Linked DNA regions of Alligator mississippiensis. The protein of the gene in region 1 interacts with the protein of each later gene in a biochemical or structural test. Links are inferred from orthologs where the notes say so. Each region holds a gene or a part of one and is shown in the gene's direction. Other genes may lie near its edges.

The links.
Region 2: the proteins of RPS6KA3 (region 1) and PEA15 form a complex in vitro, tested with the Homo sapiens proteins (2 studies listed by BioGRID). The link is inferred for Alligator mississippiensis from reciprocal best matches to the Homo sapiens genes RPS6KA3 and PEA15.

The regions. Positions count from the first base shown.
Region 1 is NC_081824.1:318,755,197-318,763,119, forward strand, and holds the start of RPS6KA3 (ribosomal protein S6 kinase alpha-3), read left to right. Parts: upstream 1-4,852; 5' UTR 4,853-5,019; coding exon 5,020-5,091; intron 5,092-7,923. UniProt on the Homo sapiens protein: Serine/threonine-protein kinase that acts downstream of ERK (MAPK1/ERK2 and MAPK3/ERK1) signaling and mediates mitogenic and stress-induced activation of the transcription factors CREB1, ETV1/ER81 and NR4A1/NUR77, regulates translation through RPS6 and EIF4B phosphorylation, and mediates cellular proliferation, survival, and differentiation by modulating mTOR signaling and repressing pro-apoptotic function of BAD and DAPK1.
Region 2 is NC_081838.1:21,050,772-21,058,233, forward strand, and holds the start of PEA15 (astrocytic phosphoprotein PEA-15), read left to right. Parts: upstream 1-4,452; 5' UTR 4,453-4,536; intron 4,537-7,462. Other genes in the region: CASQ1 (calsequestrin-1), read left to right, coding at 9-83, 877-1,026. UniProt on the Homo sapiens protein: Blocks Ras-mediated inhibition of integrin activation and modulates the ERK MAP kinase cascade. Inhibits RPS6KA3 activities by retaining it in the cytoplasm. Inhibits both TNFRSF6- and TNFRSF1A-mediated CASP8 activity and apoptosis.

The DNA.
Region 1 (7,923 bases):
TTTCAGCACCAAGATTCTGCTTGCTGCTCCTCATCGCTGAGGTTTCTGACAACTTTCCAAACGTTAATAACCATAACCTTGCAACATCCCTATGAGACAGGGAAGTATCATCCCCATTGTATCCACCTTAGAACTGAGGCACAAAGAGAGACTAATTCTCATTTCCACCAAGGCCCCTAAAAACTGCTGTGACAGCATAAATTTAAATCCCTCTAACTCTCACTTCAAGACACACTGTTAAGAGCAGCCTAAAGCAGCTTTAATGTAAATGAGAAACTGGGTTAAGAAAAAAAATAATGACTTGCCTCATATCACAAAGGACAACTGTGCATAAGAATTGAATCAAGGTGTCCTGAGAGTAAGACAGACTTCCCCAAACAGTGTAAATCTAATAGAGTCTATTGTCAACTTCCACTTCAATCCTTTTAGCATTTTTCCCATAGAAACAAATTTATTCCCAGCTTTCATCCACAGACTATGGAATGATAATTTCTGTACATTTAAATTCTATCAAGAGTTTCTTGCCTGAGATAATAAAAACCATTGAAAGATATTTGAATTCACTATACATCACTCCAGTTGCAATATCTGAACAACTGAAATTTATTTAGTATTGTAATTTATTTACTTCTTCCTGTCTTACACTTACGAAGCTGTAAGTTATGATGGAGTATGAACTGTAGTGCAACTACAGTTGCATCTAGTGTAGTACTATATGCTTTATAAAAAAGTAAGTTTGAGTGATTACTCTATAAATACTGGAGGAACTTTTCTATTTATATTTTTTAATGTATTTTCCCAAATATTATCACAGGAACCCCCAAAAATATATTCTCTTTAACAGCCTTGTGAGAGAGTCAAGAAGTGTTTTATAAATGTAGCACTATGCTCAGTGGAGGCAGGCTTCTAACCAGGGTGCAATAACCTGAAGTTTTGCCTTTGACTGTAATGAAACTATAATTTCATCCCAGTCTCTCTCTTCCTCCTTGGAGGTACGGCTAGAGTTTTCCAACAAAGACCTCCTTGAATTTATATGTAACTATTATGCTCATTGGTTTTGTTTAAAATATTACTATAAATGAGAATACAAACCACCCTATTCATAGCAGATGTAGCACTAAACATCACCAAAGTGTCAATACTGCCTTACTGCAGTATTCTGTGTCACTGACCATCAGTTAGGTCCCACTCCTTCATCTGCAAGAGTAGAAATAGACAAGTGAGCCATCTAGCAAGTCACTGCCTACCCTCAGTGCAAGATGGCATTGTAGCTTTACTATGGCTGAAGTACCAAAAATGGTGAAGACTTGGTACTTTACATCACGTTGCAATTAATGTTTCTTACATGAAGGTAACCGTACCAGAATACTACCATTTCCATTCCATGGTATTTTCTACATAATACTTGTGAACGCCTCTATGTCAAAATAAAGTACCTAAATTATACAAGGGAGGGAGATGAGGTAGGTAGAGAATGTGACTTACATCATTCTGCTTCTTGTTTGTTGTTGCAGCAGGTAATTTCAGTCTCATAAACTTGCAAATAGTGGTAGTTAGTTGTACTTTCTGCCTTAAAATTGCAAAGAATGGGTGGACAGAAATGTGTTCAAATGAAATGGCAACTGAATATACTTTATAAAAATGGTCTGTGTGAATACAATGCTGTTGCAGATTTTTGCATCAAGAACTGGACCAACAGTAATGAGGTAAGGTGATGGTTTAAATGGCTGTTGTTGCACTGATCTTGTGAGAAAACAATCAAGGCATGATATATAGTTCTGTATTGTTTATTGCTGTTATACCCATTAGTACTTGATATCCTGTTCTTTGTCTTTTTTCTTCTGGATTCACAAAGCATAGAAAAAAGTAAACATGTTGGTAAACCACTGTCTTAGGACACAACTGACTAGACATGCTACTCTCCTCCCTCTCCTTCCTCCTACCCAGACCTCCTTCAAATTGTGAGCTCAGTTTAGGCCAGATGCCAATGGAAGAGGGGAAATGCCAAAGTGTATAGGAGACTGTCAACTCTACATGGCAAGATAGTCTTTGCTAGTTGATCAGCCTGAAAGAGGGGTTGGGTTTTTTTTAGGTTTCACCACATATGAGCTGAGGTGGCAGCTGTAGCTCCTGCTAACTTTTCTCTCATGGGTTGGAATTCTCTGCTGTGTGGCTGTGGATTTCCAGTATAAATAAAGTATTTACACCAGTATAAATAAATATTTACACCAGTATAAATAAAGTAGCTGTAATAAACCAAATTATTCCAGTATATAGGAAAAGAAATGCCTTTCAATAATACATTTAAAACTAGGGAGGGAGGAGTTTGCTCGCTTTTTGAAGATACAGGTGTTATCTCACCCTGGAGATGGGAAGTATTTATTTGTGTTTCAAAGATATTTACAATCACTCTATATTTCAACAGTCTACTCACTGTTCCAGTAGCCAACCTTAAAAAGGAAGGCTTGAGATTGTTAGTGTTCTGGTCAGTTTCTAAGAAACATTCCTCATGATGTACCTAAGCTTAATTACTGTCAAACATTAGTGATTTATTTCTCTTTTCCATTACCTTATCCTGTACTTCAGAGCAATAGTTGGCCAGAGTCAGTCTCTTCCTATTCTAAAAGCAGGGTTCTAGGCAGAAATAAGGGTTTTGTTCGTTAACAAAAATAATCTAATTCTTGTCTGCTTTAGACCTTTCCATAGTCACTTACTTGTGTGTGAAGGCAAAGCATTTGAAAAATGCTACCAAATAGAAGTGTAAGCACATTATACTCAGTATGGTCATATCAGGCCGCATAATCAGCTAAAAGTCAAAGATTATTTTAAGCTGAAGTTGATAGTCAGGGGATAAAACATGTGTGACATCCATTCCCTACACCCTATGAAAATCTGGGAAGACTTTTAAATAACTTGAACTTGCTGGAAATAAACTACTAGTTAAAGTGTAATATTGTTGATCAAATTGTCGTTCAAAGCATTTTTTTCTTTTAAAAATTACTTGTCATTACTCTCATTTCCCTCCCCTTTATTTGCCTAATCAGTAATCACCATTTCCTTCTATCTAGTGATATCTTTTCCTCCCAGTCCTTCCTTTACTCTAACTGCACAATATTTTTCACTTGACTCTTCTCTTAAAAACCCCTTCTTGTCTCTTCCTCTTACATTTGCCTAAGCTTTGGCTGAGTATGCAAGCTGTCTAAGGAGAGTCTAGGAATTTCTAGGTTGTCTATATTAGGATTTTCTGCACTGGTTGTGCAGAAGAGCATAGATGTGTAAGCAAAGGTGTATGAATTGGCTACAAGTGCTACATGATCACAGATGTGTCTGTTACTGTCAGCCAAAGCACAGTTAGTAGAAGTGCTGAACAAAGTTTGCAAAGCCTAGAAACACAGGACTGATTTAATCAGGGGCTGAGTCATCAGAGATATGACTGACATCAAAGCAGGCTTGGGGACAGTCATTTACACAGGAGGCTTAAATGGGAATCAATGGCAATTAGCCACGATTGTTCTCAGGCAAAGTTCTAATTCGGACACTTCTCAGGCACTTAATGCTGGACATTGAGTTTGGTTGACTATCATGTTTGGATCTGACCTGGCACAAAAATACTCTGATACAAATCAACCCAGTTGTGTGTTTTAGCCCAAGAGGAGGATTACAGGCACCAAAGGGGTCTTTTACACAGGAAGCTATTCCTGATGGACTTACTTTATAGAGGTGCCTTTTCCAGAAAAGAAGAGGACCCACACAGGGAATTAACCAGGAAGAGCTACTTCACTTCAAACCTATGCCCTCCCTTAGTCCCAGTAAGCTTCACTGTGCAGAGGAGCCATTAGCTTTCCTGAGGAAATCTTGTGGAGGTAAGAACCAGTCACTCAGAAGCAACACAAGGGGTCTGACTGACTTGCTCCCTGCAAAGGCTGACCAAAAACATCCACTCCCCACAATGACGGCAGGCAGAGAAGTTCACAGCTGACCTGGGGCTCTAGCTGTGCCCCTTATGGATCTGGCTACTCCACCCAGTTGTGGGCTCACATCAGCAAATTGGGCCACAGAGAAAGAAACACAGTCAGCAAATGGAAATATCTCTAGTGCTCCGTTTGGACAAGGCAAGGCTGCTGTCTGTGCCCCCCTACCTACATGCCTCTGAGCATAGGCTTAGGCTGCGCTAATGCTGGGAGTTTTAACGCTTTTTTCTCTGAAAGTGTGGTGTTAGAGGGGTGTCATGGTAGCTTCCAAGGGGTGTCACGGTAGTGTTAAGGGTGGTGTCGGAGGGGGGTCATGGTATCATCATGGTAGTGTTGGAGGGGTGTGATGGTAGCATAAGGGAGGTGGCAGAGGGGTGTCATGGTAGTGTCATGGTAGCATTAGAGGGGTGTCATGATAGTGTAAGGGGAGTGCTGGAGGGGTGTCACAGTAGCCTAAGGGTAGTGGCAACTCTGATGGCCCACAAATGACTTGAGGAGAGGCAACGTCCGGCAGGCTGCCTGTCTTTTGCCCAACCGGACTGACTAGGAGTAACAACTACCAGGCGACTTTAAGGACCGCCCCAGGCGGGGCTGGGCGGAACCGGACACACTCGGACCCTGCGCGAGCGGTGTGCACACAGCCAGCAACGCCTCTCCCCGCCCCCACAGGACGCCCCGGGCCCCTCCCCCCACCCCCGCCCACGCAGGAACGGAACTCCCCCCGCCCCCCTACTGCCCGCCACTGACTCCGCCCCCCGCTACCTGCCGGCGTCGCGGATTGGCCGCTACAGCCCCGCCCCGCTGCTGACGTGCACAGCCTCGGTTTGACGGGCAGGTATGGCCCGGGCGCCATGTTGGTGAGCGGGAGCGGGAGCGGGAGCGGAAGCGGTGCGGGGGGAGGGCGGCTCTGCCTGGCAGGAGCGGGACGCGGCGGTAGCAGTGGGACCCGCAGCCGGGGCCGGGGCAGCCCGCGGTCTTGCCCGCTCCTCCCCTGCCGTGTCTTCGTGCTCGGCCGGTTGGGAGCCGGGGCGCGCGGGCGGGCGGGAAGATGCCGCTGGCGCAGCTGGCGGACCCCTGGCAGAAGATGGCTGTGGAGAGCGCGGCCGAGAGCGGAGCCGAGGTACCGCCCCCCCCTTGTGTCCGTGTGTGTCCCGCTCCCCTCCTCTTTCTCTTGACCCTGCGCCCGCACTTCCCGCCGGGCCCCCGCGCCGGACGAGGGGGAGCGCCCCTTGCCGCCAGCCCGTGGGGAGTGGGGCCGCGCGGACTTAGTAACGTGAAGCCGCGGGGCTGGGGCTGGGGCCGGGGCCGGGGCCGGGCGGCGCTGGAGGTGCCCCTATTCTGCCTCGCGCCCAGACTTGGCGGCGCTCCAAGCCCTTCCGGCTCGGGAGGCTGGGGAGAGGTTTCTCCCCCGGCTCGCCGCTGTCCTTGGGTTACTTCAGAGGAGACGGCTTCGTTGGCTGGCAGGCGGATCTGCTGTTCCCGTTTCTCAAGCCTAGTTTAAAGTACCTGTCTGTCACTCTCGGGGTGTTTTCTCCCCGCACGGGAGTGGGGTAAAATTTTCCAGCTGAAAGGTAACTGCTGGGAGCGCTGGGGAAACCGCTCTTTATGTCTGGTGAAGACTTAGAGTTGGTGAAGAGTCGTTTTAATCTCCCTCGTGTAGGGTGGTCCTTTTGACTGGAAACCAGTTTGCCTCTAGCATATATGTGAAATTTGTGGGCATATTTTAGAAACGCACCTTGCAAAAGGAGAACAAGGTTCTTTGGGTGAATCTGATATCTTTTATTAAACCAAGTGTGTGTGTGTGTGTGTGTGTGTGTGTGTAATAAAACTTTTACAAAAGGATACATTATATATCTACACACACACGTAATATGTACATGTATATAAAATCAGTTTTAAAGGCCAATGGGACTATACTGATTTGCAACAATGGAGAAGATTTAGTATACTAAATTTATTTCTAGTATTCCATCTTTTAAAATTGCTACCCCGTAATTTCATATTATATTAATTGTCAAGACTTGTATGTATATACGTACATACATGTGTGTGTATATGTACAAATGTATCCTTTTGTAAGAGTTGTTTCTAGAACTTGCCCACATCCTCAATCCTAAATTCAAAATATGCTCTGTTTTTAAAGATTTGACATTCTTCTCTTTTTTTAATAGAAAATGCCTGTAACAATTCCTTGAATTCAGTATATCCTGCTGTTTCTTGACTTGATTGATTGATTGATTGATTTTCCAAATGCTCAGGTTAATCAAGGACCTCAACCAGTGACCTAAATACTTACTCCATGTTTTCAGTTCCCACAAATTAACCTTTATCAGGGGCACTGTGCACTTCTAATTGCAGCATCAGAGCCATGGTCAAGGCTTCTACGTGAAAAACATAAGAAGTGCCATACTAGGCCACTAGCCTGTCTCCAACACTGGCAAAAGCTGATGCCTTAGAGCAGTAGTTGTCAACCCCAGGTGCCACAGGAAGTATAGGAAGATAAGCAGGTAAGGGCAGGCTGAGGCCCTCCCTGCGTGGCTGTTCCCCCCACCTCGATTGCATGGCCCTGCTGCAAGGACATAAACACTGTAATAAATACACTAGTTTTTGAAATGGTGTGCTGCAAAATTCTTGAAGCTATGAGGGTTGCCTCAAGTGTAGCAGGGTTGGGAGCCACTCCTTTAGAGCAGCGGTTTTCAACCTTTTTTTTGTTGTACCAGGACCCATTTGTAAATATCAATGGCCTGTCCCGACCTAGTGCTTCTCACTCCTGACCCACTAGCCCCAGCCCCCCAGTGTGTGGGGCAAGGGGGTGGGGTGGGGGCCCCAAGCAGCCCTTTGCAGGCTATAACTCTGGCAGCCTGCAAGGGGAATGCCACCATTATTCACACTTTTCTCCTTTAAAGGAAAATAATTTTTAAAGTTTGTTCATGACCCTTTCATATATTCTTGTGACCCCTTTTGAGTAATGCTGCTTTAGAGGAAGAATGAACTGGGCATATCTAGAGTGATCCATGCCCTATTCATCACACTCCCTAGCATCCACCATCCTTGGTTTAGAGATGCCAGAGGATCCATCTCTGACTGCTCTGTTTAACAGCTATTAATAGATTTATTGTCCATGAATTTTTGATCCTGCCTGAGCTGTATGCCTCTACAAACTTGTGGTAGATTTTTGGCCCCTGTGGAGCAACATTATGATTTGGCCTCTGTAGAGGTACATGAACTCTCTCATTAACAACTTTTGTAAAACACCACTGATGTCTCAATAAACTTACTATTTCATAGAGATGCACTAAGTCCTAAAGTATTCAGGTCTGGACATTTGTACTGATAGAGGTCCCTGCGGTATAAACTGATTCATGCAGGCCAAGGTGCTGTTCCAATGAATTAGTAATAGCAGACCTTTCTCTTGCTTTAAATTATACCATTACTGTGGATAGTGGTTCTTCTTCTAAGAGGAAATATATACAACTGAAAAAGCTTGCAATACAAGCATAAATTTATACAGTATCAAAGATGAACTCCTAGGTTGATTTTTTTTCTACAGCAAGTAATAAAGCAGGGCGCACTGATCTTGTTTATGGTCTTGGCGGCTATATGATATGAAATTCTGGGGTAGCAATTTTTAAAGAAGCGCTATTAGAAATAATTTGGTATACTAAATGTTCTCCATTGTTGCAAATCAGTATAGTCCCATTAGCCTTCAAAGCTGTGATAATTGACATCACCTTAGGTTTTGCCTCAAGTTCCTTAACTGGTATCTGTCTTAAAAAGCAGGGTTTATAGTGCAGATGCTGCATGTGTGAAATAGGCAAAGTGGTAAAAAACTTCAAATATTGGCATATAACTATAGGCATGTAAGTTCATATTTTAGAAACCTTATTTTTTCAGAAACATTATGCTTCTAGCATTGGTCTTTACTAGCCAACATCAGGGGTTTAAATATGGG
Region 2 (7,462 bases), on another chromosome or scaffold:
TCCCCCAGCTCATCCCCTACTGGGAGAAGACCTTTGGGATTGACCTGTCTCAGCCCCAGATCGGCGTGGTCAACGTCACCGATGTGAGTGCCCCAGCCACCGACCTCGCCCCAGCTGTGGCCCTGTGTTGGCCTCCCTGGGGGTTCCTGCCACTCTCCTCTGCTGCCCGCTGGCAGGAGGTGTTGGGACAGCCCCTGGACACTGGGGGTGGGTACACGGCTGCCCTGAGCCCTGGGAGCAGACACGTTCTGTGCCCCGAAATAGCTCGCACCAGAGGGCAGCAGCTCCTCGCTTCAGGGGTAACTGTTCCAGCGCACCAGCTGTGCCCCAGCAGAAGCAGGGACAACGTATATCTGCTCCACGCCACTCAGACCCTGACCTTTGACTCCGGATGGGCCACGTATCTGCTTCTGGCAACAGGTGTGGGGCTGCCCTGGGCTTTACACACATGCTGGAGCGCAGACTGGGAATACGCGTCCGACACACTTTGGTGCCAGGCGTGATGCGCAGCCAGCCGGAGCGCCCTGTATCCAAACCGTCCTGCCACAGGCTCCCTTGGCCTCTCCCAGCTGCCTCTGCCCCCTGTGCTGATCTCTGTGCCCCGGGCCTGGTGCTGGCTGCCCCCTCCCCATGGATTGGCAAGGCCCCTGCCCTGCTTGGACCCATCCCAGGGTCAGTGGCTCTGCAGGCCAGGCAGCTGATTCCCAGCCACACCCCACATGGGACCAGGGGAGCTCTGTCCCTGGACTAGCGATGGGACTGGCTTGTTCCACAGCTAAGACCTGCCCTCTCATGACCTTCTGGGAATAGCCATGCCAGATCCACCAGCCCCCTGTGCCCTCTCCACCTTACCCCTGCGCCCCTCCCCTCTCACAGGCTGACAGCATCTGGATGGAGATGGATGACGAGGAAGACCTGCCCTCGGTAGATGAGCTGGAGGACTGGATCGAGGATGTGCTGGAAGGCGAGATCAACACAGAGGACGATGATGACGACGACGATGATGACGATGACGACGATGACTAGATGTCGTCGCCTCCCTGTTGGGTCTCGCCCGGGGCCACACTCTGCCCGGGCCCACCCAGGGCACCCACGGGGTCTTGGGGGTGGGGTGACAGCAGTGTGTGGCCACGGCCACGTGGCCAGACTCTAGCCGTGGCACATTTTTGTATGGATCCTATTTAAGCCGTCGGCTCCCCGGGAACCACATGCTGCCCCTGACAGGTGCTGGCTTCCTTGGGGGGAGGAACCCCCCAATGCAGCCTGTGCCCCCATCCCCTCCCCCTTCCCAAGGCACTCACAAGGCACGAAACAGGGCTTAGCTGAGCTTTATCTTGGCCTTGTTGCCCTGACACCCCTCCTCGAACAGCTGGGGGGAGTCAGGCCACAGCACAGCCCTGACCCCACTAACCCTCAGGCTAGAGGAAAATCCCCATCCTCTCTCAGCTCTATAGGGCTCATGACACTTGAGTGAGTGGCTCCTGTTGCTACCAGCTGAGGCAACAGTGTCCCATGCACTCAGAGCCAGCTCATGCCAACATGGGACAGAAGCCAGCCCTGAGCCCCACTTCGTGCCCTGCTGGCAGCGTGTGACCCTGTCTTCGGGCTCTCCCTGTGACGGGAGCCCTGCAGCCTGCGGGAAGCAGAGAGGGGTCCTGCTGCAGGCAGACCCCAGCTAGAGCCTGCCCCCTTTCCCCCCCACCCTGCCCCGGGGAGCAACCAATGTGCAATTTGTATATTTATAACCAACTTTGTACAGAGCAACATTGCAACCAGCAAGGCAATAAAACCTGCAGTACGGCGCCCGGCTGGTGAGAGCTGTGTCGGGCCAGACCCATGGGAGGGGAACATGGGGTGGGTTTCTGCGTCTCATTGGAGCTCGTGTGGACTCCAACGAGACTGGGTTTTGGGGCCCTGGGACTCTTCCCTTCTCCTTGGTCCTGGTTTGCGGCTGAACTGAATGGACCGTGCTTGTTGGGCTTTGTTTTTGGGGGTTCACTCCATCTCAGTGCTTCCTGCTACAGGGCGTCCCCAGCCCCATCCTTGGACCTGCTCATGGAGGAGCTGTGAAGACAAGGCCTGCTGGGATATCTGCTGCATTTGGGGGCTAGCACACAGACTGCTATGGGGAGGTGGTGGGGCAGAGGAGCTGCAGCCCACAGTGCCAAGGGTGGGGGAGCAGGGGCAGTTCTCTGCATGCATGGAGGGGCAGTTCCAGCCTTGGCTGCCAGCTGGGGGGCAGCTGCAGAGACCCTGGGACATGTGCTGTAGCTGGGAGGATGTTGGGGTATCACGATGGACCCTCTGCACTGGGGCACCGAAGCCTGGCAGGGTCCCAGCCTGCAGGGCCCTTTCCCTGGGCTGCAGGATGGCAGGTCCCTGGGGGGTGCTGCAGGCTCTGTGCAGGGCATTGCTCACCCTAGTGCCCCATGACAGGGCACTCGATTGCACAGGGCAGACATGGGAGGGCCAGGGGTAGGGGAGCCCAGCTCCCATAGCGTAGCAGTAGGGGCTGCCCAGGGGCCGTGAAGTGGGCGCCACGGTGCTGGACTCACCACTCCTGGATGCCCCCTGATTTCATGGGGATGGAGGCAGAAGCCTGGTGCCCTGGCCTTGCCCAATCCTGGGTAATTTTTTTCCACTACAGTAAAATCCCCCAGAGGTTTCAACTGGAAATGAGATTCTCTTTTCACTTCCTGCCCAAGAGAAACAGAAAGAGACCTCAGTGCCCCGATCACCCACCAGTGTAAGGGGGAGCTAGCAGGCCAGCCTGCTCCCTCCTTGCCCTGGATGGAGCATCTGGGAGCCCCCCCAGTAGCCCCACCCCACTGCCACCACGGGAGGTGGGGAGGCTGGGGCCGTGTATCGCAAGTGGTTGGAGCTGCCAGCCCCGAGCAAGGAAATGGTGGCGGCCATCCAAACAGCTGCGGCTCTGGGTTCACATCGGCCAGCTGCAGCCGCACGCATGGGAATGGATCTGGCCTCCCTGGGGCAGAGGCCGGCAGGCCTGGGCGCTCCCCTCCCTCCACGTGAGGCCCAGCACCCTGCCCAACGTGGGCCTGGCTGCCAGGCTGAGGGCGCCTGCCAGCACCAGATCTCTGGCCCCGGGGAAGTGAAAGCCCCGTCCTCGGCCTGCTTCCTCCTTTCAGTCTCATTTTTGCGTGGCACAAAGGGCGAGGGAGCTGTGGGGGGCGGGACTGCGGCAGTAGTGGGGGGCTCAGGGGCAAGGCCGCTGGGTCCAGGGCCCCGTCTTCAAGGCTGCTTATGCACCGCAGCTGCCAGCCTCTCTGGAGCTGACTCTGCAATACTGGGTGGCGGGCACGTGCCAGCCTGCAAACCACGCAGTCCTGCCACCCATTGCTGCAGGGGAGCGAGGACAAGGCAGGGGGCTGCACTAGTGCAGCAGTGAAGCTGAAGGGAACAGCGTGGCTTGGAGCAGCCCCTCTGGGACCCGGGCTGTCATGGGGGACCCTGCTGCATGTGCCCTGTGGGGCAGGTGGCTCTGGCCTGCCCAGTGCGGGGGGCTGGTGTGACCAAGTCAGATGCCTTGGCCTGGTTTGGTTTGGAGGAAAGGAGCTGAGGTGAAAGAGTAGCGGCCGAGCCTGACCCCATGGAGCTGGGCCCTGCCCCTCTTGCCTGGAGCCCTTGGGCACAGGCTGGCTGTTCAGGCCTCGCCTGGCAGGGATGGAGATGCCAGGGGCAGGGGCAGCTCCCCGCCTCCATCCAGCCAGGAAACACATGTGCACATGTACACCCCCCCCATAAGCATTCCCATGCATACATGCACAAATGCCCATGCACACATGTGTGCACATGCATACACATATGCACACCCCAATGGCCACACATGCACATGCACGCCCACACCCACACATATATGTATATACATGCAGGCACAAATGCACACACACACATGCCCACACATATATGTACATACACGCAGACACAAATGCACACATGCATACTTGCACACACACATGCCCACACATATGTACACACATGCAGACACAAATGCACACGTGCATACCCACACACACATACTTGCACACACACACACACGCCCACACATATATGTATATACACGCAGGCACAAATGCACCCCCACATACTTGCACACACACGCACATGCCCACATACATGTACATACATACATGCAGGCACACATGCACACACGCGCACGCCCACACTTGCACAGACGCGCGCACACTATGTACAATCACGTGGGCACAAATGCACACACACACGCAGGCCCACACGCACATACTTGCACATGCACACATTCATGGATGTTCATGCATGCACGCGCCCACGAATGCCCACACACGCTCGCACACTGATGCGTGTGTCCGCACAATCACACACACGCATGTGCCCAGACACACACACACGCAGGCACGCACACCGACACGCGCACACACGGGCGGCCCCGCGCGGCCGGAGCACAAAGGCGCCCGGTGACGTCACCGCCCCGCCCGCCCCGCGCAGGAGGAGCCGCCGCCCGGCGCAGACCGCGATCAGCCCCGCAGCCGCCGAGCGGTGAGTGCCGGCCGGCCGGGCCGGGCCGCGGGGCGGGGGGAGGCGCCGCGCGCGGGAGCCGGGGTGCCCGGGAGCGGGGCGTGCGGGAGGTGCCCGATGCCGCGTGCGGGAGCAGCCGGGGTGCGGGCGGCTCAGGGCAGCCGCCGCCCCGCCTCGTGCCTGCCCGGGGGTGCAGCGGTGCGGTGCGGTGCGGTGCGGTGCGGTGCTGGCCGCTGCCCGCTCCCCTGCCCTGCCCCACAGTCCCGCGCCCGCGCCACGCAGCAGGATGCTCCCGGGCACCGGGGCAAGGGCAGGCCTGCAGCCCCTCGCCCCCCGCGCCAGCACGGAGACGGGGCCCGGGGTCCGGCCTGCCCCTGCCCCTGCCCCTGCCCCGCGCGCTGGGCGGCACCGGACTGGTCGCCTGATCTCTGCCCACGGGCTGTCAAGCCGGGCGTGGCCGGGCGAGGCAGTGGTGTCTAGGAGTTGGGGCTGGGGGCTGCCTGGCAGGGGTTAGAGCTCCCCGGACTCCTGCTTTCCGTGCCCGGTTCGTGCGTGGCGTTTTCTGCACGTGCGGGTCTGGGCTCGGTCTCCCTGTCCGGTGCCCGGGCGGCGGCCGAGGGAGGGGCAGTGGGCAGAGGGCGCGTGCGGGGGGCACCAGGCTGGTGCTCGCGGCGCGCTCCGTCATGTGGCGGCTCTGTGCAGGGCGCTGGTGCCTCGAGGTGGCCAAACCCGGGTCCGGGGGTGGGGGGACCCAGCGCCGTGGGAATGGCTCGCTGGAGGGCGTGGGGCCAGTCTGGTGGGAGCTGGCCCCAGACTTGATGTCATCTCCTGGGACCTCTCGCGGCCCCGCAGGGCAGTGCTGGAGGACGTCCTTCAGCTTGTCCAGAGCCCTTGGCCCCGCGCCGTGATGTCCTGGGGCAGCTTCCGTGTGCCTTGGCTGGCCCCCCTGGGACTTGGGGGTCTCCCGATGGGGTCCCCGTCCGGGCACCTGGCTGTGGGCTGCTCCGTCCCCGTTCTGTGAAGAGTCCCCCGTTTGCCCTCCATGGACCCCACGTGTCAGGGGCCGGGTGGTTGGGGTTGGGGCTGCTCCTCCCTTTGTTTTGGGAACCGGCCTCTCAAAGGCATCTTGGCTTGGGCCCCTTCCTCACGCCCCCATGCCCAGTTGATGCCAGGGCTGGACGTGCGACTGGCAGGCCTGGCTTCCTCGCCCTGAGGTCTGGCTCCAGCGCCATGCCCTGGAGCCCGCTCCATCCACGCCGGGAGCAGCAGGCTGACTCTGGTGGTGGGGCTGGGGCACCTGCCATGGGCATCTGGCGGGGCCTGGCTTGGGGGGCTCTGGGCTCAGGGCAAGGCCTCGTGATGCCGGCAGGCCAGAAGGGGGCTGGGAGTGGAGCTGCCCGTCCTGTAATCTGCGCGCGGCTAAACAATCACGGTTAAACAATCACGGCGGAAATTGCCAGCTGTGCTCGTCGCCGCTCCTTCACACGCCGCCGTGGCACTGGTCCCCTCCTCCCATGGGGCCGCCGTGTCAGCCCCCCTTGCCAGCCTCCCTAGCTGGCACCGGGTCTGCAAGTGGGCACACGTGTGTGCCTGAGCAGCCTCCGCCCCCCCCCCCCCAATTGCCCTGCTAGGCCAACTCTGTGCTGTGGCAGCTTGTGGCCCTGCACGGCTATGGTCGGGGCACTCGTGGTGCCGGGCGCTGCATGGAGAAAGCAGAGGCTATCACGGCCAGGCAGATGAGGCAGGCAGAGGCTGGGAGGGGGAAACTGAGGCATGGGGTGGCCACATCCCCCCGTAGGCCAGTGGCAGAGCCAGGGGGAGCAGGCAGGCAGGGGTCCATTCTGGTGCTGGTGAGGATGCAGTGGGGGGGATTTGGGGGCCCTGCCAGGCTCCCTGCCCCGCTCAGCTGTATTTGCATACATGGGAACTTAACCCTTTCCCATCCTAAACAGAGCCTGCCCACAGGGCCGGATCCCTGGAGCCCGTCATGTTCCCAGCCTGCACGCTCACGCGCTCGCAGTCATTTCACAGCCGCCACTTGTGTGACAGTCAGTGCACACTTCCCCCTGGGCTCAACATGGCCCACAATTGTGATGTACACCCCAGCACCCTGCCACGCGCAGGGCACGCTCCGTGTCTGCATGCAGTGCACACTCACCATCCGTGCGGATGCATGTGCAGGCTCAGCGCACACTTTCACGTGTGTGTGCCCACGCTCGAATGAACATGTACAGATGTTCCCATGTGAACATGCCTAGTCCCCCTACCGCAGGTGTCTGGCAGCGATGCTCCGTGGAAGGGTTGAGGTCAGACAGGCACCATGGGGCATCCTTTGGCCCCACAGTAGACGCCCCATGGTACCCATCTTACCTCCACCTAGCCGGGGGAGCATCGCTGCCAGGCAGCTAGGGCAGGGGGACTATGCATGTTCACATGGGTATGCACGTGAAAGTTATGCCTCCCTTCCTCAGGGAGATGAGGCCTCCCCTGTGCCCAGCCCTGCTGCCCCTAGGCTGGGCCGTACCTGCCCCTGCGAGTAGCTTCCCAGCACTGGAGGAGGCAGCCTCTGTCTCTGCCTTTTTCCCGCAGTCCTTCATCCAGCCAATCCTCGCTGCAGCCCTGGAGCCGCGACTTGGGACCACATCGCCCCCGCAGAGACGGCGCACTGTGATCCTGCCACCCCCAGTCTCTAATTATCTCTCCCAGATGCAGTGCCCAGGTGCCCACACCAGCCACATCCAGGCCCGGTGAGGCCTCTAATTACAGCCATATTCGCCCCAGCCCCAGGCAGGGCAGGGAGTGGCATTGAAACTGCTGCGAGTGGCATTGGATCACAGGAGGGAAACTAAGGCACGGGGAGAAAGTGATTGTGCAAGTGAGCTGGGAACAGAGCCCAGGAGTCCTGCTTGGCTCCCCACTTCCACAGCTGGGAGTAGGGAACCCAGGA